Arabidopsis thaliana: one gene and its partners. The protein of the gene in region 1 interacts with the protein of each later gene in a pairwise test. Each region holds a gene or a part of one and is shown in the gene's direction. Other genes may lie near its edges.

The links.
Region 2: the proteins of AT3G13940 (region 1) and AT3G21490 interact in a two-hybrid assay, tested with the Arabidopsis thaliana proteins (one large-scale study listed by BioGRID).
Region 3: the proteins of AT3G13940 (region 1) and AT1G79070 interact in a two-hybrid assay, tested with the Arabidopsis thaliana proteins (one large-scale study listed by BioGRID).

What each region holds. Positions count from the first base shown.
Region 1 is NC_003074.8:4,596,612-4,605,664, reverse strand, and holds AT3G13940 (DNA binding / DNA-directed RNA polymerase), read left to right. Parts: upstream 1-3,082; 5' UTR 3,083-3,252; coding exon 3,253-3,714; intron 3,715-3,848; coding exon 3,849-3,986; intron 3,987-4,132; coding exon 4,133-4,447; intron 4,448-4,604; coding exon 4,605-5,018; 3' UTR 5,019-5,243; downstream 5,244-9,053. Other genes in the region: AT3G13950 (ankyrin), read right to left, coding at 470-722, 1,146-1,516; AT3G13930 (Dihydrolipoamide acetyltransferase, long form protein), read right to left, coding at 5,522-5,592, 5,676-5,771, 5,860-5,962, 6,042-6,137, 6,228-6,294, 6,382-6,449, 6,534-6,609, 6,683-6,768 and 10 more.
Region 2 is NC_003074.8:7,568,628-7,576,147, forward strand, and holds AT3G21490 (Heavy metal transport/detoxification superfamily protein), read left to right. Parts: upstream 1-4,437; coding exon 4,438-4,473; intron 4,474-4,583; coding exon 4,584-4,665; intron 4,666-4,749; coding exon 4,750-5,042; downstream 5,043-7,520. Other genes in the region: AT3G21480 (BRCT domain-containing DNA repair protein), read left to right, coding at 234-2,215, 2,379-2,648, 2,731-2,811, 2,903-3,014, 3,106-3,172, 3,273-3,363; DXPS1 (1-deoxy-D-xylulose 5-phosphate synthase 1), read right to left, coding at 5,198-5,344, 5,433-5,717, 5,797-6,078, 6,151-6,458, 6,533-6,982, 7,063-7,213, 7,301-7,465. UniProt on the Arabidopsis thaliana protein: Heavy-metal-binding protein.
Region 3 is NC_003070.9:29,740,591-29,749,485, reverse strand, and holds AT1G79070 (SNARE-associated protein-like protein), read left to right. Parts: upstream 1-3,670; 5' UTR 3,671-3,678; coding exon 3,679-3,904; intron 3,905-4,154; coding exon 4,155-4,319; intron 4,320-4,442; coding exon 4,443-4,468; 3' UTR 4,469-5,215; downstream 5,216-8,895. Other genes in the region: AT1G79080 (Pentatricopeptide repeat (PPR) superfamily protein), read left to right, coding at 654-2,384; AT1G79060 (TPRXL), read right to left, coding at 6,423-7,613.

The sequences.
Region 1 (9,053 bases):
TTTGTAATGTTTCATTCTAGTGTGCACCGCATTCTAGTTTGTTTTCTTTGTTCTTTTTTTTTGTATTTATTTATTACTGTGTTATACGAGCGATTTGGACTAAGATCATGGTAAGAATAACTATTGGCAAAAAAAAAAATTACCACGATCGTTCACCAATCACGATTCACAAGGCGATATTGCCACGATTCACATTATTTGAACATACAATTTTTAATCAAACGAATTTATTAAACAGTACAAACCCACGCAATTAATTAACTTTACAACAAACCAACCCACACAATTGCCAAGATTCACATAATCAAATGCATTTATTAAACAGTTTAAAAATAACCCATAGAATTAATAAACGTTATAACAATGTCCTTGGGAGACTTTTATTCTAGTATCACTTTCCTACATCAAGTTCCAAATTCATACGTGGGTTCGAAACACGGGTTCCTTCTCTTCTTAATGGGACCTCTCCCTAATGGAACCGTCGCCGACGTGGACAACAACAACAACACATGAAACAAATAAGCCAACCTATAAATCGAACAAGTTGGATTAAAAGTATCAAAACAGGAAATACAACCCAAAATCCCACATAAATCAATAGTATATAACGAATTATTTGATCGTCGGATTGAACCAGCACGATGGCGAAGAAGAACGCCGCTGATATACAAAGAACCGCCACCACCATAAATGTTCCGAGGATAGCCATTATCATCCGGTTCCTTCATATACACAATTATATCATCATATAAGTGTCTTTTAGTTTATTCTAATACCAAACAATTTCTCTACTTATTCTGAGTGTACCAAAATTCCATTAGATAACTATGATATATGTCATCAACTTTCCATAGTTTTAAAGTCCAATCAAATAGCGATCGAATTAGTATTTTTACCAATCAGACCAGTTTTGTTGAAATAGCTAATGTTAAGTCAACCATTGTGCCGACATAGTTGGTATACTTAAAACCGAAAGTCAACACCAAGATCTCAATTTAGATGACTATTTTTAGTTCTCAGTAATATCTTGTCAAACACAAGCGTTACATAAAAATTCCAGACTTAACATACAAACAAGTTATAATAATTTACATACTAAGTAGCCTTGTTATATGGAGTTGCACATATAGTTTATTTATTGGTACCTTAGTCGTATACCGCTGATGACAAGGAGAATGAGACTCATTGAGGTAGAAAATGACACTGTACTGCTAATAATCATCCCAATATACGCTATACGCTTTGAACTCTCATATTCCAATACCGCAGTTCCCGCTCTCCCCTTACAAAACGGTGCGGTTCCGGTTTGATTTCCGAAAGAACAATTGTCACTTTGCCATACGCCACCGGGAGGATTAACCATAACTTGAAAGCTCATACCGGCTATAACCGTAGCTGTAACCATAAGATTCCCTCTAGTTTTCTCTAACCAATCGCCTTGACGTTTTAGATACTTTACGAACCACTCTGATGATGATTCTTCGTATCGATGACCTTCTTGACCGTTGATCTCCATGATTTGAAGCGATGAATGCTTTACAAAAGAGTTATAATTCTTAAAATTTATATATGTAACTTCTCTCTTTGTCGAGATTATAAAGGAAAAAAAAGAACGAGTCTTTTTAAAAAAGGAAAGGGAGATAGAAATTTCTGGTTTGATCAGCAAAAGTCTAATTTGAAACCATTTGTTTGTTGATCACGTACGGGAATTAAAAACCTACTCTTTGAGAACTATATGATTCTGATCAAGTCAGTCAACGATAGCGACATTAGGGAAGAAGCGTCGTCGTTATTTTTTATATATTTCTAACTAAATAGAGTTTTTGAGGTTTATAGGAGAATCGCAAGACCTCAAATTTGACTCTGGGAGATCATATCTCTCATTTGTGTCACTCTTCTTTCAACGTGTCTTTTCTTTCATAGTACTACATTTGTCATCTTGTCATTGTATCTAATGACTTATACGACTTGTGGTATAAAAAGATAAAGATATATAGCGGATAAAGAACAGTCGTTGCATACCATTCAACAAACCAAAATTAAGTTGAAGTTGAACATTAGTTAATTGCGGAGAAAAAAACTAGAACATTAATTAATTGCGCAACAGTGAACAGTGACATTAGTACATATAAAATCTTCAACATAATGATAAATTAAGCTACTAACAAGTAACAGAGTCATGATCTAGTGGTTGAATATTGGCAATGTTAATTAATCGATTGTATAGATTAATTTTCATCTATCTATCCACAACGCTAGCTCTTTTATGTTCAACTATTACAAAAGTTGTAAGTGGCATAAGAAAACTGTGGTCGTACATCAACATCACACACCACGATTTACTCTTTTCTTAAATTTTTTATTAGATATACATACCTGCAAATGTTACTCATATAATATTACACAAATATTTGATACGTCAGCTTAAATATGTATCTGGGTAAGGTGATCAGGTGATTATCAAAATAAAATAAAATAGTACAGCATTACTTGTTTTGTTGCTAGGTAAGTTTGACGACGAATAAAAATATATGTATCCAAGTTCACCAAATCCTACGCTAGCTAGTTGGACGACAAGACTTTATTTTGGACTCGAAAAAAAGAGAGAGAACGTGTTAAAGAACCCTAATCAAAGAATAACCGATCCGATAGTAGTCCACTGTCAAAAGTGAAAACTAGTTGTGATGATATCAGTCCAATATACACTTAACCTGAAATATCTATATTAAAAACGAACTAAGAATTTGGTGTACTTGGATCAAAATTTTACATTTGTTCCAGCATAGAAACTTGGTCTAGAAATGATGAAAAAATTAGAAGATAATAGAATCCATAGTTAAAAAAAACTTAAAAGAAGGTTATGTGGCCAAAGCTTTAAAGAAGAGTTTAGATACTTTGGAGGTAGATCAATGTAAATTGGGATCTTTGCAAACAGCGTGTGTTTGTTTTCTAAGTTTCAGGCGAACTACGTGTCGTTTTAGCTAAGAGAAAAAGCCAGGGTTTAGATTCCGTAGTCCGTAGACGTCGTTATAACGGTGTAGATCTTTCTAAACAAATTAAAAGTTTGGGGTCAAAAAAAAAAACTGTGAAGATTTCTTTATCGACTCGGACAAACAACAAGGGTCTGTTATGTAATAAATTCCCGAAACATAACCAAATTAGGGTTTAAGCATTTAGTGAGTTTCCAGTAAACCCTTCTCTGAATCGCTGCCGCTTCTTCGATAGACTAAAAGAATCCAAACCTCAGTAGCCATGGAAGGCGAAGAGAAGAATGATTATAGAAACGAGGAAGAAGATTTCAATACACCACAACAACTACAAAAGAAGCAAAGGAAAGGGAAAAAAATAGCAACGGAAACAGAGGATGAAAACGAAGAAGACAAGAGAGTTACTCTCAAAGTCACGCAAGTCGCCGAGAGACCCGATAGAATCTCTCCGATCGTCGCCTATTTCTCTACAGGATACGATCCTTGTAAAGTAGATCCAAAAACAGGCAAGAGAGTTCATGAAACTCCCAAGGTTACTGTTTACAAGCATAAGGATGATTCTAAGAAGAGGATTCAGGTTGTTGTAAGTCCTCCAGGCGCAAGAGTTGAGTTCGTCGGAACTAATTACACAGGCGAGCAAGCTGCTATGCAGACGAATACTTATAGAGTTGGTGTTTTTAATAGAGAGGCTAAAACTTTGAGGATTCTTCCTGTTGCTCACAATAAGGTTTAAATTCTGTTACCTTGTTTTGATTTTGGTGATTAATTGGTTTGAATTAGTTGGAATGTTTTGAGTGTATGGTTGTGAATAGAAAAGAAATGATTTTTGAGAGTTTGAGTTTGGTTTTGTGTTACTTGTAGATAATCAGATTGGAGCCTAGAGTTAAAGCTCAAGAAACAAATGAGGAAGAAGCTTCAGGAAGTGCTGTCGTCAAAGAACTTGAAGAACTAAAAACAGGAGAACGCGATCGTTATAATACAAAAAAAGCTGTTACTCGGGTATGTTACTACAGCATCTGAAAACACCAATTCTACTGTTTCCTACAGTATCTGTCTTATTGGTATCCAGACTAGTAGAGAACTGATTGTCGTGAGATTCGTTGGGAGGATTATATGTCTGAGTGAGAATGTGTGTCTCTATGCAGGATAAGAAGAAGCGTGCCTTATATATGGGAGATGATGCTGCGACTCAGAAGGTCCTTGATGGGAAACTAAGTGAGTTAGGTGTTAACACAGCTGCTCTTGAAGGCACCAGTTCTACTGTTGCACGCAACATTCCTCCTTACAATACCGCTGCAACGACTGCAAATGAAGCTTATCCCTTAGAAAAGATCATTGAAAAGGGGGATTGGAGTTTTCTTGAAGATATTTACTGGCTTCTGCAACAGGAAACTGAAGCAGCAACTGAGGCTTACCCTGTATTTGTCCGCAACAGATTGTACAGATTGCGAGATATCAAGGTAAAATTATGACTATTTTCTTGGATGCAAAATATTTTATGTTAGCTTGCACCACTTTCGCGGTTTGCTCTGATTAAATGGATTCTGAACTTCTCATGGTTTTATCTACTGCTCAGAAGATTCTTTATGTATGTATGTCATTTTGTTACATATGCAGGACGATATGAAAAAGCAGACGGTTTGTGGTGCTGCAACGCTTCTCACCCATCTGGTTAAGTTCAAGGACAGAAACTCAATGAATGGTTACGATTCCGCTAAAGACCACAAGATGCCAGACATCTTCCGTCAAAAATTCAACAGCATGTTCAAGGATTCTGAATCAGATAGGATACCTGTTGACAAGATCAACCTTCTGATAAGCTACGTTCTTGTGCTATCCCTTCACGTGGATAATTTCATGACCGATCCAGAAGACATAGCAAAAGATCTGAGGATAAGCACAGTTGAGCTGAGGAAACATTTTCTACAGCTTGGCTGCAAATTCCTGAAGCAGAATTCTACTACGGTTGCTACCTTACCGACCCCTCTCAATTTCCCGGAGGTTAACCGGAGGCGCAGGGCACGAAAGTGATGACGATCTAGGAGAAGATTTTGTTCTATCTTTACATATTTTCTGCTATTTTAATGATATTTCTTTGACGGTCTGTTGAGATATTATAAATTGTTTTAGTTCCTAAGACATCTGTTTCTTGGGTTTAATGATATATGATGTTTTGGCATTTAAGCAAGCAAACTGCTCTAAGTCCATGATAGTGAACTAAGTGACATTTTATTAGAAGAAAGAGATATTTATTGGAGTTGATTAATAAAATTAAGTAAATGGGTTTTATTTTGCCAACCCATGATGAACAAGCATTAAGCCAAAAAACAAGTGCACAGTGAAATTGTTGGATTCCTGATTTTATTTTGAGACAAAAATCTGTCAACTCAATGATTTAAAGAATAGCAAAACACTCAACTTTAAAGGCCATTGCCTACTGCTGATCAAATCTGGTAGAATATGTTGTGGGAAAGAAATTTGAGGTCAGAAGACTCTTATGAGTTTAGCTTTTGATGTGTGTGTGCGTCTGAATTTTAGAGCAACATAGATTCTGGGGTCTCGATGTAGCCCTTGAATGCTTTCAGCCACTCGGCTCCAATTGCACCTGCACAGGAAGATGACTTATTAGACGTTTTCGATGAGGTGATGATTAATAATGACAATAGGAATGAGAGGCGGATTCTGTACCATCTATTACGCGGTGGTCACAGCTTAGTGTTACAGACATGTATGAAGCAACGTTGTATTGGTCTGGACCAGTACCGGGAACAACTCTCTTTTCAGCTGTTTTGAGATTCAGACACCAACACTATAATAAGTTACGCGGAAGAAACTTCAACGGATAAAGTGGATGAGTATGCTAAGGACTTACCAGATCCGATTGCTAGAATGGCTGCTTGAGGTGGATTGATGACGGCACAGAACTGTTTGATGCCAAAAGGTCCCCCCAGGTTGGAGACTGTGAATGTTCCTCCCTGTCAGAAGAAACAGTTTGAGCTGATTTGCTTTCACAGCAGTATTATGCTAGTGAGATTGACCGAATTCTAAACCAACCTCATAATCTTCCGGCTTCAAGCTGTTTTCTTTTGCTTTTTGAGCCAAGAATCGAACCTCTTCTCCAATTGTAGACAGTCCTTTCTTGTCCGCGTCCTGAAATCAAGCAATTAGATGAACTGAGTTTTTCAGAAATCTCAAGTTTCTGCAGAGGAAGGTTAATAACTGTATCAAGAGCTCCCTAACCTTGACCACAGGAACGTAGAGCCCATTTTCTGTTTGTACAGCGACATTGATGTTCACATTTTTAAATCTGTACATAAAAGGAGGAAAATAAGAACCAAGAAACTAGATGATTTGCAAAGTTTTCATGAACCTCTGAAACAGAATATGTACTTACTGGCGGATGTATTCATCTGTCCATGAACTATTGCACTGAGGAACTTTTCGAAGAGCCAGTGCAGCAGCCTGCAATTTCGAAAAAGAAAAGGTTTCATAATGGAGAACAAAATGAGATTTAATTAGACTTGCAAGAAAAGAAGTAAGATGCACCTTAATAACAAGATCATTTACAGATATCCTTTTCCCACCGGAAGCCTCTTGAAATGAATTGAGTTGACTCCTAAGACTGCATATAAAAATAGCTATGTTTAGCATCCACTTACCTAATCAAAATATATGATCTAAAACTTAATACTTACCCCATCATTTTGTCAACACATGTATCCACGGTCAAGTAGTAGTGAGGAATAGTTTGCTTTGAGAATGCCAAACGTGAGGCTGTGACCTGTCAAATTTATACAATTAACAAAACTTCGGAATTCTTGGCTTATAGTACAAAACAGAGAGATATATGGTCGAGGTAATCTAGAAATACCACAAGCAATCAAGATATAAGGTTGTATAGGTATTTGCCTTTCGTATCTGAGTGTGAGGGATGTCAACATAGTCAAGAGCTGGAACCTTTGAATCCACTTGCTTGGAAGGTTTGGCAGTAGTTTCTTTACTGCCTGAAGCTGTACCATAGGAAGATGTATTAGAAATTTAGAACATAGGGATGAGGTAAATTCTGTAACGAGAGGGGAAAATGTAAGAAGAGGGAAGAGCCAAGGATTTCTGATACCTAAGAAATCTTCGACATCAGCCTTCACTATCCGTCCTTCAGGACCTGTGCCTTTAATGCTTGAGAGAGGTACCTAATGTTTTTCAAAGGAAAAGTAGGAAAAACAAATTAGAGATGGAGATCTAACACGAGCTTAACTAATATTTTTCGTCTGGAAACTGACATTATTATCTTCAGCCAACTTTCTTGCAAGAGGACTGGCAAAAATACGATCTTCTGAAGGAGCTGAGCTTGGCTTAGAGATCTTGGCTTCAGGAGCACTGGCTGGCTTCTCTACCTTCTCTTCCTTTGGTAGGGAAGGAGCTGGTTTTGCTTCAGGCGCAGCGGGACCAGTATCGGATGAGGGTGTGTAATCTTTAAACTTTTGAATATCATCTTCATCTTCAACTGTGATAGCAATCACCTAGTTGGACAAAAAAAAAAGGGACCATTTATATGTGATTCTACAAATGAAGATAAAGATCTTTGTCATTTTTATTGAATATTCATTGATCTTCAACTAAAGGGAGCATAGGGCTCACAATCAAATACTTCATGAGAACCCATTATAATTAACAAGTCTCCAAAAGTCAGAAACTCTCATACCTCCCCAACTTGAATTTCTTTTGCCCCCTCCTCCTTTACTATCTTGGCGAGAAAACCCTCTTCCATGCATTCCATTTCGACTGTTGCTTTGTCCTAAAATATTAAGATTGAGATAAGTGTTTTATTCCTGGCATAAGAATCAATACAGGAAGAGATTCAATCAGGATTATCATTACAGTTTCAACTTCACAAAGCACTTCACCAGGAGCAACTTTATCACCTTCTTTCTTCAGCCACCTGGCAATGTTACCCTGAAGTTTCAACAGATATCTTTAGTAGAATGATAAAACAATAAACCATGTTAATTTTCGTAAGAGGTATTCAGAGGTACATGCCTCAGTCATTGTTGGCGAAAGAGAAGGCATTCCAATCTCTTGATGAGGAGGAAGATCTGAAACATATTTTAAAAAGTTATCAGTAAAACAAACCATGTATGCTGCATATACACAGTGACAGAAATATGATGGCCGCAAAAGGCACAAAAACCAAGTCAGATGCTCACAAAAAAAAGTACAATTCAAGTGAAAATATATGTTAGAACAAGCGGGAAGTTACAATAAAGAACTAAATACCTGAACTGGATGAAAATCCTCTCACTGATCGCATCTGGGAGCTAAAAGCAAGAAAAGAAGCTTACAGTTAGGATAGAAGTATTCATACAGGAAGGTAGCAAGTTGTATTCTCATCGGTAAATGGATTACATACCTTATAAATTCTTTAAATAGTTTTGGTCCTGCCATTGGGCTGCTTAGTTTTGTGCTCGTTGTTGAAATACCACTAAGCATTGTTACCTATATAATGCAGCTAATGACATTACGACCAAAAAAACACAGACGATTACGTGACAAAGCAAAGACGAGAAAGGAAACTGAACAGCAGGGACTTACATTGCCAGTACCACATTTTGAAATTCTCTCTACAGAGGAATAATTCAGGCGGGCCTTGAAGATATCTGAAGACCAAATAAAAATAGAAAAATAAATGCTTAAGCGAGAAGCATAATATATACTCAAAACATACCAACTTTCAATTAATTAAAGTTGGAACGTTGTTATGTTCTTCATGTTGAAAACGATGTGAAAGTCAAACTTGGACTATTCATCCCAGAGTACTGTGTGGTGCTTGTTACCGTATCAAATAAAAGAAACCACCACACATTTCTACATAAAATGAACTTAAGGATAGCAATGAAGAGGACACTAAGAAAGCTGACTGGATTACCTTCTCTTCCAACGAGAGAGGGGTGGGTACTGTTGGAGAAACAGCGGACTGCCACAGCATGGTCACGCCGCAGTAAAGCGGAAACATGTTTCAACTGGTCAGATAACACAACAATCGTCAAAATAGTGTTTACAAAGAGCAAC
Region 2 (7,520 bases), 3.0 Mb from region 1:
AGCCTCTAAGTATGTTTTTGTATATAGTTTGTAACTCCATTGTTAATGTTCATGTAATCTTTTAGAAGATGGAGATCTTAATCTAATTAGGTAGTCATATTTTCCTGTGTTCTATTAACAAACCATTGGTAGTTGCAGACTTGCAGTTATTTTAAGACAATATCTGCCTTGCATTCTTTTCAAGTTCCCTCTCTCATTTGCACTTTTCCAATGACCTTTTTTTCTTTTACCAGGAAAAAAGGTGGCTAGGTTCGCTTCAGTTCGTTCAGCAGCTTTTCGTGCTTCTGCTGTGGCAGCTCGTGTTGCAAACCAAAAATCTGCCAACACTGACTGTTCTACACTAATCAACTGTCATTCTTCTGGGAAAGGAACCACACATAATTCTGGTCTAGAAAATAGTGTTGGGGAAGTAGGGAATCAGCAATCTCTTACCAGTTTATTTGTTGAAGAGAAAAAGGACTTAAGAACAGGAAAAAAAACAGCGAGGAAGCTTTTCGTAGAGGATTTCCCTGAAGAAAAATTTCATTCTACTGATTGCAATGTCGATCTGGGGAATTTGAGTTATATTGGCTCTCAAGAACCTGGTGAGGAATCCCAGGCCAGTGCTCTTAACTTGGTTGATAAGCTCATTAGTGAGTGCCGTCTAGAGTTTGATTTTGAAGTTCAAGCTGACTATGGAAGGAAAACAGAAGATAAATCAAAATTTGTTCAGATTTTTAAAGGTCCACAAGAATTAGCAAAGAAGGTAAGTTACAAAAGTGGAGCTGTTGGAAACAATATTTTCGACTGGGATGATAATCGTGAGGATGAAGGAGGGGGTGATATCTATCGTAGAAGAAAAGATGAATTCTTTGGCGTTGCAAGTAAAAGACGGGAATTTTCTAGCTTGCCTAGAGAACAGAAAAGAGAACTGATACCAGTTGCAGTGGATAAAAGATGGGCTCGTTCTGATTCCAAACTGTTGAAGCATAGTGTGACTAGGAGCCGAAAGAATATCCAGGGTGCTAAAAAGAATCTTGGCAAAGAGTTAGATGAAGTTCGTGAAGCGGCAGTTTTAGGGAATGATACACAAGTGGCTGCTGAAGCGATTGATGATCTGTGCTCTGGAGACCGTGGCAAATTTGATGGTGAGGCGAGTTGTCTTACAGGAAAGAAACTGTCACCAGAAGAAGAGAGAGGATTTTCTCCCGGTGGAGTCGTTACTAGACAATCCAAGGGAACTAAGAGGATTCAGGCTATGAGTAAAGATGAATTGTTGAAAAAAAGAATGAAGAAGGCTAGTCCTAGTCCTGCTAAAGCTTGCCGGACGAATATCGAAGGATCTTCAAATGGTGACCAGCTTAATAAAGAAGGTCCATGCTGCTGGAAGAGTAGGAAGGTCCAGACTGCTTCACGAGAAACTAAAAAGAATCTTGTTGACGAGTTTGATGAAGTTTCTCAGGAAAGTAATACAGAAATGTTTGATAGGCATGAAGAAGCAGAAGCAGGCCCTGATACACAAATGGCTGCTGAAGTGATGAATGCTCTGCACTCTGGGGACGGCAGGGAAATTGATCCTGAGCCAAATAATCTAATAGGTAAGAAATTGTTATTGGAAGGAGGCATTTCTAGGTGTGGAGTCGTTACCAGAAAGTCCAAGAGGATCAAGGGGATTCAGGCTGTGGACAATGATGTTGAATCATTGAAACCAAAAAACAAGAAGGCTAGATCAATTCTTGCTAAGTCTTTTGAGAAGAATATGGATAGGTATTCAAAAAATGACAAAGTTGATACGCCAGATGAAGCTGTTGCGTCAACCACAGAAAAGAGGCAAGGAGAATTATCAAACAAACATTGTATGTCTAAGTTACTTAAGCAATCACATAGAGGTGAAGCTGAGGTGTTGAATTATCCCAAGCGGAGAAGATCAGCTCGTATTTCACAAGATCAGGTTAATGAGGCTGGGAGGAGTTCAGATCCCGCGTTTGATACTCCAGCTAAGTCTAAGACGCCGTCAACAAATGTATCGCCTATATGCATGGGTGACGAGTATCATAGACTTTCTTGCAAAGATTCATTTACATCACACACTACAAGGGAATTTCGTAGCTTAACCGTACCAGTAGCGGAACCTATCTCCGAGACAAAGAGTACTAGAAAGAGAAGAGATTTGGGTAGTATATGTGTCTTGTTCAGCCAGCATCTTGATGAAGATGTGACCAAGCATCAGAAGAAGGTATAGTTGGGTTTCTAACTGTAACTTTAGTTACCTTCGATCATGTGACCTTATTCCTTGCTTTTTCTTTTACAATTGGTAGTGAATTTTCAGTTTTGCATTAACCAAGTCTTCTAGACAAAAGTAAACCTCTTAACAATCTGGCATATGATATGTTTAACAGATTTTGGCAAGGTTTGATATCTCGGAAGCTTCCTCCATGAAGGAGGCAACACACTTCATAGCTGATAACTTTACGCGCACAAGGAACATGCTAGAGGCAATCGCTTCAGGCAAGCCAGTGGTCACAACACAATGGCTTGAAAGCATCGATCAAGTAAACATATACGTTGATGAGGATATGTATATACTCAGAGATTCAAAGAAGGAGAAGGAGTTCTGTTTCAACATGGGGGTTTCTTTGGCTCGTGCACGCCAGTTTCCGCTACTACAGGTATCTAATACTCTTTTGGTTTCAATTCTTTTTTTACCTCGTTTATTCTCCCTTTTCGGCTCATTATATTTACATATTTCAGGGAAGAAGAGTTTTTATCACTCCAAATACAAAGCCTGCTTTAAACACAATCACTACTTTGGTTAAAGCAGTTCATGGACTGGTAATCATTTCTTCACCTTTTTACACTTTCATGTGCATGTTTTCAAAACTTTTTCTCCCCGAAACTGATCCATAATGAAAACAAATGCCAGCCTGTAGAAAGACTCGGAAGATCTTCCCTAAGCGAAGATAAGGTCCCAGAGAATCTTCTGGTCTTATCATGTGAAGAGGATCGCGCTATCTGTATACCCTTTCTGGAAAGAGGTGAGTTTTATAGTTTGGTCTATATAACTTCTGCTTTTGTATGTGGTAGATTTCACGGGGAAATCACAGTTTTTCTTTTCCTTCTTCTCAGGGGCCGAGGTATATAGCTCGGAGTTACTACTAAATGGGATAGTTACCCAAAGGCTTGAGTATGAGAGGTGGGTATTGTTATTAGACAATAAATTCTTATATTTGTCGAACAAAGCTTTGTCTCATCTCATTCATGGCTTCTTACTTGGGAATCTTGAACTGTGTTAGGTACCGTCTCTTCACAGACCATGTGAGAAGAACGCGGTCAACGATATGGATCAAAGACGGGAAAGGTAAGTTCCAACGTCGTAGCGGGTAAAAGAGTAAATGTGATCAAACTCCTATATGATAGTTCAGTTTTAGATTAGTTTAGAAAGTGGCTGTATATGTAACATGTTTGGCTTAACTCGTGTAACTATAATCTGTTGGGTTTTGAGTCATTATGAACAAATTGAAAAGAGGAACAACGATAGAGATTCTTTAACCTTTCTATTTCATCATTGAATGGTAGCTAAATTATTTAAAAAATCGATGGAAACACCCAAACTCAAAACCAAAGGCAAACATTCGCCTCCGCTTCCATCACCAGCAGTGAAATCTCCTCCACAGAACATTTGATTAGGTTCAAGACGGTGGAAGATTGATCCCTTGTAGTGGAGTGGCTTACCAAGCTTCCCCATCCCTTTCTCCCTGTGTACATAGGGCCCGGAAATTCTCCGCCGCTCGTGGTGTCGTGTCTGCAAAGAGCTCCATCACAATCCGACCACACTCTGCTGTCCACGCTCAAATAAAAAAAAAACTTTAGGATTAGCTTTTACTACTTGTTCAACGCCACCACGCTCCACCAGCCGGAGGAAGAACATTAACGTTTAATCCACCACCACCTCCACCAGCGGGTGGTACGAGTTCGGCAACAGGTTTAAACGTTAATTGTAAAACCAACATTAGCCGGAACGTTAATTGAACAGGTGCATTGGCTTCATTAAAGCTCAAACTTACATAGTAGGGTTTACCGGAGATTTACCGTAGATTTTTACGTATTTCTCTAATATATAATGGATTATCCTAACGATATCTAAATTATTAAATCTAATGATATCTAAGTCACAACATTACACTATTTTTTTTTTAAAAACGAACCGTTATCACAATTCACATTACAATGAGATTCAATTAAGTATTCACACTTGCATTTCACACTTGCATCTATTAAACTCGAACAGAATAATTAAGGAACGGTATTAACCGTCAATAACTCCCATCCTAAATCTAAACTGCCATTGCATCACAAAATTCAAAAACTATCCGACTCTTTTGAGTTTTTGTCATCTCTTGTCGCTTCAGACATAAACTACAGTCTGAACTTCATAAACTAATTGTCGTCGATTCAACAATGACGAAAGATAAGAAGAAAAAGGACAATGTCAGAGTAAGATCTTACTTAACATTCTCCTTTTTGTTGTTAATCCTCTGTTTTTTTTCCTCTGTTTTCAATACGTTACTTCATTTGTTTTCTCAATTTTCTTCGATATGTTGTAGTATATGGATGTCGAATTCAATGTATCGATGCATTGCAACGACTGCGAGAGAAAAATCGCTAGAGTTATTTCCAAATTCAAAGGTATAAATCAAAGTAACGTTTCCTTCAAAGGTATATACATGTTTTTTATAGTTTCTAATTTGAATGATCTATGAATTTTCATAGGAGTTGAAACGTTTGTGACGGATATGATTAACCACAAGGTTGTGGTCAGGGGAAAGATTGATCCGAACAAGTTGTTGAAGAAGCTTAAGAAGAAGACTGGCAAAAGAGTGAAGATTGTAGTTAAGGAAGAGAAAGGTGAAGAATCTAGTAAGGAGAACGAAAATGTTCTCGAGATTGATATGGAATCGATTTGTTTAGGGGATCAGTCGATGTTCGGGTTTTGTGATTGGGAGATGGAGAAATTTATGGTGTTTAGTGATGAAAACGTCAAAGCCATTTGTTCTATTTCTTAGCCTAGTTGAAACGAGATATAAGCAATACACACAAAATCATTCTTGAATGTGAATGAATTTATTCAAGATGTTATATAACTATAATATATCCTTCTTCTAAGCGGGTTCTCTCGATATAGGTTTTTTGTGGAAAGAGCACTCTCATGGAGATCCCGTTACTCCCAAAACAATGCTTCTCTAGGTGTTCCCATTAAGTTAAGTGCAGTGGCTGCAATGTGAGACGCTGTGAGGCCAGCTTCAGCTAGTTGATCCATTGGTGATCCATGTTCGATATACCTGTCAGGTAGTACCATTGGTCTCCACTTTTGTCAAAATGAAAGAACATTTTAAGACAGGTACCAAATGGTATACAAATGAATATTAAGAATGTGTAAAAAATTGTTAATGTACCTTGAGCTTTCCATCAAGAAGGCCATCAAGTGCAAGAAATTGTACCACATGCGATCCAAATCCTCCAATGGAACCTTCTTCAACCGTGATCAAAACCTCGTGTGATTTAGCTAAGCTACGAATGAGAGCAACATCTAACGGCTTACAGAATCTTGCATCCGCTACTGTTATCTTTAATCCGCGTTCGCTTAGCATAGATGCAGCCTCTAAACATCTTTGCACCGCTGATCCATAGCCCAAAAGCGCAACCCTCTCGCCGTCCCTTAGTATCCTACCTCTCCCAATCTGAAATTAAAAACACACAAAGATTAAAACTTAGAATGTTAAAGTTTTGGATTCACAATATTGTTTTTACTAAACATACCTGAAGAGGGACACCTTTGTTACCAGGAGGAAGTGAAACACCAATACCATTTCCTCTATGATATCGAAAGCAAGAAGGACGGTCATCAATAGCTGCAGCGGTTGCAACCATGTTAAAAAGCTCTGCTTCATCAGATGGAGCCATTACTATCATGTTTGGTAGACATGCCATAAACGTCACATCAAATGCTCCACAATGTGTTGGACCATCTGCTCCCATAAGTCCTGCTCTATCTATTGCAAATCTCACAGGCAGTTTCTGTAGATCAACATCATGTACAACCTACACAAACTAGTTTTAGTCTAGTTACCACATCACAATAAGCAAATAACCAAAAATATGTGACTCTATTACTTGATCATATGCCCGTTGCATGAAAGATGAGTAGATTGTACAAAAGGGCTTAAGTCCTTCGCAAGCAAGACCAGCAGCGAAGGTAACTGCATGTTGTTCTGCTATGCCGACATCGAAACACCTTGTAGGAAAGCGGCTTTCGAAGAGATTCAACATGGTTCCACCTCCCATGGCTGCATGAATGGCAACAATATCTTTGTCTGCCTCTGCTTCTGCAATCAAGGCCTCCACAAAACAGGAAGTGTAAGACTGAGTCTTGGAAATATTTTTGAACTGTTTACCTGTTTCTGGATCAAATTTTAAAACTCCTGACAAGAATGAGAAATATGGATCAATCCAAGAGTGCTTAGTATAGTCAAGAAGATATGAAAATTAATTTTACCATGATACTTGTCATCAGCTCTCTCTGCGTAAGGATATCCACGACCTTTCTCAGTCACGACATGGATAAGAACCGGTCCTATGGTTTTGGTGCTCTTTAATGTTTCAAGAATGGAGACCAGATCATCTATGTTGTGTCCATCAACTGGACCAACATAGTGAAAACCAAGTTCTTCAAACAGTGTTGAACTAGTCTCTCTAATCATTCCACAATTAGATTGCAGCCTACTAAGAGCACAGCTCAGAGCTCCAACAGGTTGAGTTGGTCCATCCAAGTTAGCAGTAGGCAAAGATACTTGTTTGTTGTCGTTGAGAATCACAATCATGTTGGAGTGTAAGTAGCCAGCATTGTTCATTGCTTCATAAGCTTGTCCAGCTGTCATAGCACCATCGCCTATAACCGAAACCACGCTGTTGTTCATCCCCTTCAAATCCCTCCCTACAGCCATCCCTGATTCACAATTTCCGCATGCATGTTAGGAAAGTGATTTTTCTTGTTTTCTTGTGACACAAGAAAATAACAAGTATGACCTAAGCCTGCAGATAGTGTGGTCGAACTGTGCCCGGTGCCAAAAGAGTCATGCTCACTCTCTCTTCGCTTGGTGTAGCCGGAGAGGCCATTGGTCTGCCTTATTGTCTTCATCTTTCCTCTTCTTCCCGTTAGAATCTTGTGAGGATAAGACTTGTCAAAAAGACAAAAACAAAACAAGTTAAAAACACTTGTACATGTAGCTAAAGGAAAACTTATGCTTGCAATGAGATAACCAACCTGATGACCAACATCCCAAAGGATCTTATCATGAGGAGTATTGAAGATGTAATGAAGGGCCACGGTGAGCTCAACAACACCAAGATTCGAACCCAAGTGTCCTCCAGTTTTCGAAACATTAAAAATAACATCAGATCTCAACTCGTCCGAAAGAACTTTGAGTTCCTACATAGCAGAACACTTTTTCATCATCACATCCTTGATTTGACACAAAACAAGG
Region 3 (8,895 bases), on another chromosome or scaffold:
AAGATCACGCAGATACCGCGGGAAGAAAGGTAGAGAGAATCGATTCAAACTATTTCTATTTGCATCAGAGAGTTAGGATTCTTCCTTCAAATGGACAATACTGGTTTTGTGTCTTATAGGTAAAAGCAGTGGAGAAGAAGTTTGGTCTCTGTACAGAGAAAAAAGTCTTTAGGTTTTGCAGAACTTATGAAGAGGTTTCAGGCATTTGTATTTCTGTCTTTTGTTTAGTTGATCTCATTGTCGTTTCGATATTTGTTTTTGAAACCTTGTTTATGTTTTTGATAAATTCTCTTTCCTTTTTTTTTCTTACTCTGTTTTACCAATAAACATTCTGAGTTATGCTTTGGTAATGATTACTCAATTTGTTCTTCGTACCATCTTCTCTCACAAGCTCGAGCATTCACGTTTCGGCTAAAAGAGTGGTGTACACGCGCATGTTTGGACGCGTTGATAACAGAGGCGGAGGAAAAAAGGAACCAAACCTTTCGGATCTAAAGAAGAACACAAGAATGAAAAATAATTAGATTGAATTTGATTTAGGATCAGAGAGTGGGAAAGTACATAATGATCCTTTTCTTTTCTGGGTTGTTCGTAAAACCCAAAACTTTCATTTCATCTCCTTCCTTTTTCTGATTGCTGTCCGATTTTAAGCCATGTCGACTCTACTGAACTCAGTCTTATCCATGGCGTCACCGGAATCATCGCCGAGAAAAGCCGTAGGTTTTGTTTCCCACATCCCTTCTGGTTTCCTTCATTTCTCCTCCGTCAGTAAAGGTGTTGCTAGGGTTTTAGCTTCGACCCAGATAACATTATCCCCTAAAGACTCCGCCTTTACCATTACTGGATCCAGTTGGAAACCCGATTTGGATTCCGGGTCGTTTTCTGATGACCCGAGAAGCGACGAGCCGAATTTGAGCGATAGTTTCTCTCATCTAGAAAGTTTAGTCACGGGAGGGCATAAACCCAATGTAGCTCATTCTACTCAGCTCTTGTACGATCTCTGCAAAGCCAATAGATTGAAGAAAGCCATTCGTGTGATTGAGCTTATGGTTAGCTCCGGGATTATACCCGATGCATCTGCTTACACGTATTTGGTTAATCAGCTTTGTAAAAGAGGTAACGTTGGTTATGCGATGCAGCTTGTTGAGAAAATGGAAGATCATGGTTATCCTTCTAATACCGTTACTTACAATGCCTTGGTTCGAGGTCTTTGTATGCTTGGTAGCTTAAATCAAAGCTTACAGTTTGTTGAGAGGTTGATGCAGAAAGGCTTAGCTCCAAATGCTTTCACTTATTCTTTCTTGCTTGAAGCAGCTTATAAAGAACGAGGAACCGACGAAGCTGTGAAGCTCTTAGATGAGATCATTGTGAAAGGCGGTGAACCCAATTTGGTTAGCTATAATGTGCTGTTGACTGGTTTCTGTAAAGAAGGGAGAACAGACGATGCCATGGCGCTGTTTAGGGAATTACCTGCAAAAGGGTTTAAGGCAAATGTTGTGAGCTATAACATTTTGTTGAGGTGTTTGTGCTGTGATGGGAGGTGGGAGGAAGCGAATTCGCTCTTGGCTGAGATGGACGGTGGAGATCGAGCTCCTTCAGTTGTTACCTATAACATATTGATCAATTCGTTAGCTTTTCATGGAAGAACAGAGCAGGCACTGCAGGTTTTAAAGGAGATGAGCAAAGGAAATCATCAGTTTAGAGTCACTGCCACGAGCTATAATCCGGTGATCGCCCGTCTGTGCAAGGAAGGAAAAGTTGATCTTGTTGTGAAATGTCTAGACGAGATGATATACCGGCGTTGTAAACCAAACGAAGGAACGTACAATGCAATAGGTTCGTTATGCGAGCATAACAGCAAGGTGCAGGAAGCGTTTTACATAATACAGAGCTTAAGCAACAAGCAGAAATGCTGCACGCATGATTTCTACAAAAGCGTAATCACGAGTCTCTGCAGGAAAGGTAACACCTTTGCAGCGTTCCAGCTCTTGTACGAGATGACTAGGTGCGGGTTTGATCCCGATGCGCACACCTACTCGGCTTTGATCAGAGGGCTGTGTCTGGAAGGGATGTTTACAGGAGCCATGGAGGTTTTGTCGATAATGGAAGAGAGTGAGAATTGTAAACCTACAGTGGATAACTTTAACGCCATGATCCTAGGGTTGTGCAAGATAAGGAGGACAGATTTGGCAATGGAGGTGTTTGAGATGATGGTTGAGAAGAAGAGAATGCCGAATGAGACAACATATGCGATACTCGTTGAAGGGATAGCTCATGAGGATGAATTGGAGCTGGCTAAAGAAGTTCTTGATGAGCTACGATTGCGTAAGGTTATAGGACAGAACGCAGTAGATAGGATTGTAATGCAGTTCAATTTAGATTGATGGGTAGGAGGCGAAGATAACGAACACCATGAGGCTTTTTTCTTTTCTATAAAACTTTTAGTATACAGTATTTTTTCACTGTTTGTATCATTTTTATGGAGACGATGATTCATGTAATCTTCAGGTTTAGAACAACAGATCAGAGATCAATAAGAATCAAGTAACACACACACATTGTGCCTAACATCTTAAAGATCCGATTGAAACAAATGGAGACAATGTGTAAATTCTAGCAGCGAATAGGTGTAGACGATGAAGTAAAGTCTGAAACTTTCTTTTTGATTAAAATCTTAAACAAGTCTGAAACATAAAAGGAAGCTTATAGTAAGAACAATGTTTGCAAGAGAGAAAGGGAGAGAAGCAAGAAACAGAGTCGCATTGTCTTCAAAGGCAAATTTACTTAGAACGCTGTCTCATCTTTCGTCTCTTCCTCTTAAGCCTCCTCATACGCTTCTTCTTCCACTGCAAAAGAAAAACAAAAACCATTCACTAAACCCAAACTAGGATCATATTGTATGGATCAGAATTGGCTTCTACTCACCCAAAAAAAAAAAAAAAAGAGGCAATGATCAACCATAAAATTTACATAGTAGGAGAGATCAAGATAGTGAAATTGAAATCGTAAATTCAACAATAACCCAAAACTTGATTAAAATCCCAACATTCTCTTCCATCAAGTACAAATCACACATAAAATGATATGATCAATATTAGGAGAGACCAACATTGTGAGATATAAAACTCAACTGTTACAAACCAGAGTATCTCATTTCATACCAAATCTTCCAGAAAACAGAGCTCTTATATCAAATCCCAAATTTAACAATAACCGAACTTTTGATGAAAATCCCAACATTCTCTTTCGGCAAGAGCAAAACCATGAGTAGAAATCACAATCCTAATCAATAAATTTCAATATCCTACAGGTCGTGCTACACTAAACCAAGGTTTCAATCTCACTCGACTGATTCTATAAACAGCAATTCACAAAATTCCCAATATACTTAAAGATCAACACACAACATTTTTGATAAAACCTACAGAAGCATAGCTAAAGTTGTAGATAAAAAACTGACCTTGGCTCTCATCTTGTCGCTCTGAATCGAATCGGAGAAATGAAGGCGTCGTTAAACATATATACACACACACACATTTGTAGAAAAGCCCTAAAATATCTGAATCGGAAATACATTAACTTCTCAGGGCTATTTGCGTCATTATCCACACAAGGCTCTTTTTCCTCTTGAAGAAAACCTTAAAAAACCAACAAACTTTAGGAGAGCCTCGCCGGGAAATGGAGCAGCTATCAGACTCGGACCACCGCGATTCTGCTGATGCAACTACTAGCTCATGTCAATCCACCACCGCAGAAGATGGTCAATGCGGCGGCGGCGGAGAAGCAATGGCTCGAGGCTTATCAGCGATGCTCGAGTCCGTCATTAAAGACTTTGACTCTAAAGCTCTTGACACGCTCAATAGCCAAGATGAACTCTCCGGTTCTCTCGATCGCCTTGTCCAAGGTACAATTTAACCTCTTCCCGAGATTCGTATTTAACTTAATTGGTGAAATCAATCGATTCACAAGCTTCGTCTCCGTATTTGTTAATTAGATTACGCACAAATCAATCCAATTGATCCGATTAAGTTTCTTAACCATTATATTGCCATTGGTCTAACAAAATTGCTTAAGAATTGATTCTTGTGAAATTTTTAGATTGGATAGTGTTTTGTTTTTTCACACAACAAAATTTGAATGTGATGGAAACACAGAGCTAGATCAATTACTGGAAAACGCTCCATTGCCATTCATTGTACAACACGCATCGAGAATTTCCAGCGTCAAACAAAGAGTTTCATCTCTGAATCTTGTTCTTAAATCTGTCCAACGACGTATCGATAACATCGATCACATGCTCTCTGCCAACACCACGCAAGGTTATAAATGCTTTTATCAAAACCAAATCCAAAATTTTATTAGTTTTGGGAATTTGTGAACTCACTACTTCGTCATCTATATATAGTGCATTATTATCTCACTTTGTTTTCACTGTAACACAGAGAAAGCATCCTCGGAAACTACATGATGACGAAACACTTACTCACTCTCTGTTACTCTGTCACTCTCATCTTCGGATTTGGGAGCAAACCCAAAGAGGTGAGTGTTTTTGTACAAGCGCAAGTGTTTTCTCATATTGTTGTGTTATTGGGCTTTTAAGTGGGCTTTTATTGGATCAGTTCGTTTCTAGTTTAGAATACCCAAGTTTCATTTTTTTATTTAGATTGTTTTATTATAATAGATAAGTAATTGTTATTTTGTATCGTTGCAAGCTCTAATTCGATGAACCACATGGTCCATCAATCAATCATGTAGAACAGAATTTTCAAGTGAATATGTCGGGTCGTTTTATTTTATTTTATTTCGTTTTGGTTGCATTGTTGCCTTGTTGGTAATAGGCTTTACAAAAATTAATATCTAATAATCATAAAATCTTGTCACGTGGGTCTACGACAAAATCGATAGGAGGATGCCCGTATATAACAGAGTCACGTGTCTTCTGCGCTGGGTCACGTGATTGAATGCCTATATAATTGGATCTCGTAGGCTTTTAGTTTTTAGATGTCCTAGTGCTCTCTCTGTAGACTACAAGCTTTTCATAAGGAGGAGACTACATGGGCCACAACTTTCTTTAGTTGATCGATAATTACTATCTTCCTTCTATAAAGAACCATGTTTTTTTCATTATTATGATTAAACTTTCTATTTATGTGAACGATGATGATGGGTGTGACTTGTAAGGGTGTTAATAGTTAATGATGATGCAGAAGAAAAGAGGTAAATTAAAACTATGGAAGACCGAGCCTCTGACCAAATATCTAATTGGTCCGTTTAGTGGGTACATCCATACAAACACAAAAACCTAAGCCCCATTTCGGGAACTCTTCTAAAGTATGTCTTAAACCCACAAAACTAGCTTACTTTTGCTCTTTTATTCGCTGCTTTTACAAATCATGAGCTGCAAAGTAATGACTAGTAAGTATCATAGATGTTACTTTCAAGACTATATACACTTTTTTTTTTCTCAAAATGGAATTTGATTAGAAAGCCTGTACCACAAATGCTGTTAGGGTATTTTAAGTAAGTGAGTGGAGGAGAAAGGGGACCAAAGAGAGAAGTACAACAGGAGGGATAGAGACAGGTGAAAGAAGCTTAGGGGGTCTTGTACTTGTACAATCTCTATTGCTGGTCCAATCTATCATTTTTTAATACGACTTAATAGTAGTCTTTGAACAGTTTGGTACCTTTCACGTACCATTATGATAATAAGGTCGTGAAATCCTGACACTTAAACATGTGATGATTCAAACCGAAGACCACCAATAGCTCCAACATTAATGGTTAAACGAACCTTCCTTGATTAACAAAACAACAACCAACGAATAAATAAACCGCAAAAAAAAAGAAAAAAAAAAAACTCAAAATAAAGAAAGAAAGAGAAAAGTGTGGTAAAGTCTCTGAAGACTGCATCATTTCCGAAACACAGAAAACGACAAAATAAACTATATAATAAAAAGATACATTAAAAATAAAATCACATGAAAGAGACAGCTTAGATAAGCTTCAACGTGGGGAGAGCGCAAATACACGCAGAAGAAGAGCATATGATAGAGAGCAAAAGAATCTGTTTCCTATGTTCTGACCCACGCGCATCCCTTTAGCGCGTCTACCTCACTCTCTCTATGTGTCTCTCTCAACCCAAGCACAAGCAAAAACACACAATTTAGGAGTCTCCATTTCCAATTTTGTGTCTCTATCTATGTCAATGAACCCTAGAATTACACTTCACCAATGGCAGATTCTTTATTTACACACCCAGGACAATTCTAATACCTTATAAAAAAAAAGCTCTGTTAAAAATAAGATTTGTTGTAAACAAACCAAAAAACAGAATGATTACTACTAGAGTACTAGCTAGCTACTGTTGAATCAATACAGTGTTGTTGTTACCATTGATGGTTCCTTCATTTATAATAGTCGGGTTAGATTCGATCCGTGGAGTTACGGCCTCTACTGATGTGACACGACGCTCTATTATTGTTGTTGTTCCCTGTTCTATTGTTCTGCGACGAAGATGAAGATGACGAGGAAGAGAAAAACTGACCAAAGACTACTGAACCACCTCTGATTGAGCAAACGGGAACGTTCAAAACTGGAGTAACCCTAACGTTTGAGCTATACGATCTCTCCATTCCTCTGTGTCTATACCCGCTTGTTCCACCATTGAAGCTACTCGGACTGCTTGAGCTTCGTTCTAGATTCTGGAACACGATTTTACCTGAAGAGTTTAGTCTTGGACTGTCTACAGAGACTCCTCTGTTCATTATGGCTGATGTTTCTCCACCGGAACGTCGCATCGGACTGCGTCCAACTCTTCCTCCTCCGGTTCCTGATGTTGAATGGTTCACTAACCTCATTCTCGGTGGATTTGGGTTTAGGCTACGAGCCGGAGCAAATGGATTCGCAGTGAGATTGTGGTTGAGGTTAATGATGTGGTTTTGGTTAGGTCTCTCTGCATCGAGAGAGAGTCTTGGAAGATCTTCGTGGTCATGGCCAGAGGAGGAAGAGGAGAGAGACATACGAGAAGAGGATATAGAGACAGATTCGGAATCGGAATCTTTGAGGAGAGGAAGACTCATGAGTAACGAAGCATCTGAAGAGGACGACGAGGACCTGGAGCTCCGATGCAAGAACTGTTTCAACGACGAAGTTGACGATCTCGGATTCGTCGTCGTCGTCGTCGCAGTCGACGCGGATTTGCTGCTATTCTGAGAGAATCGTTTGAGTCCTAACAAGTCCCTCCATCTACTTGAACACCGTGGCGCCTTTGGAGAAAACGAGCAATTATCGCCACCCCCGGAGATCTCAATCTCCACGACTTCCATCCTCCTGCATTTCCCGCCGATCTCCGTCGTCTGTTGTTGTTGCTGCTTCGTCACGAGTTTACCGTCGGAGAAAAGCTCATCGGCTGGGAGCATTCCGACTGGATCCTCCTCTAACCTAAACTCGAAATCACCAGCTCCGACTGCTGTTTCCTCCTTCGGAATCTCCGATGCGACGGATCCAGAACTCCGACCACCGTCGTCACGGCTGAAAGAAGCTCGTGGATTGAAACATCCGTAAGTAGGAAAATCCTGAGAAACAGTAACATTGTTGACGCAAACAGAAGCCATCACCGGCGTTCATGCAACAAACTTATCGCCGTCGGGAGAAAATCAACGGCCAGATCCAAACGAGAGAGAGAGAGAAGAAAGAGAGAGGTTTATGGATGAGTGACAATGGTTTGTTTGGAGCGTTGTGAGTTTGTTTTGGAGAGTAGGGGCCACGAATGCCATCCACAGTTATTATAAACGACCCAGGTGGCGCGTGCTTCTCACCGCACTAGTGGGGGCATTCACGGTATTTGTTCTGTTGGAGCCAATGGCGGAGCCTCTCGGATCAACGGCTAATTCACAGATTAGTAACTTTTTAATTAACTTAATTGTCTTTCTTTAATGGAAACTATTATTATCTAACTCTGGAATATTCCAAAAAGTTTACCTTATAAATTTGGGAGACAAAACCTTTAAAAATATTTGTTCATGAATCATACTAATACAGAAGGAAAAAAGTTGGAGGTTGGTAATCATTAATGATTAATATATAGGTCACGTGATATAAGGGGTTATTTTGATTATCAATAAATAAGGTCATCGAACAGCTAGCGATAAGCTGTGTTGATCAAGAGTATGGATAAGCGGCCACGGGATGATAAGCGGGAAAAGTGACTATTCGCTGAGAATTTATGTGTTTTGATCGGAGAAATTAGACAACTCGTAATCTCAAAAGTTTTCATTAAGATAACAGCATTCATTTCTATGGTTTTGAGATCAATCTGATTTCAAAAGACAATCTTCTACACTGTCTTTAATGTCCTTTCGAGTTAGGGATTGCTATCTCTGTATGTATAATCAAGTGGTGCAGTGCGTGTGTGTTTGTCTCTCTTTATCTGGTGTTGTATCCATTTTAGGATGGACTGTAGGCTAAATCTGAATTGAATCAATGTCCTTTTGTTTGCAGATATAATCCATTGCACATGCACACATCACCAGTTGTTTTTCCTTGTTGTATCAAGCACATGATACTTAAAGGGAATAACATGAAAGGTACATAGTTTGTCTCATCACTTTCTCAGTTTCCGATTCATGTATCTTTCATTCGTTCCTCTTTTGATGTAGCCAATTTCAATGCTCTATTGATTTGCATTATCATCCAACTTTTACAAAAAAAATAAGGATGAGTTGAGAGTACAATGAAGTTGTGCCGATCCAAAGGAACTAGTCATGAAATGATGATGGTGAATAGCTAAATGATTCATTGTTGTTGCATGTACAAATGATCCCAACAACGTTATTAATAAGTTTATAACTGCAGGATTGTGAAAATCTTAATAAGCATCAAAATCTATTAGGCTCA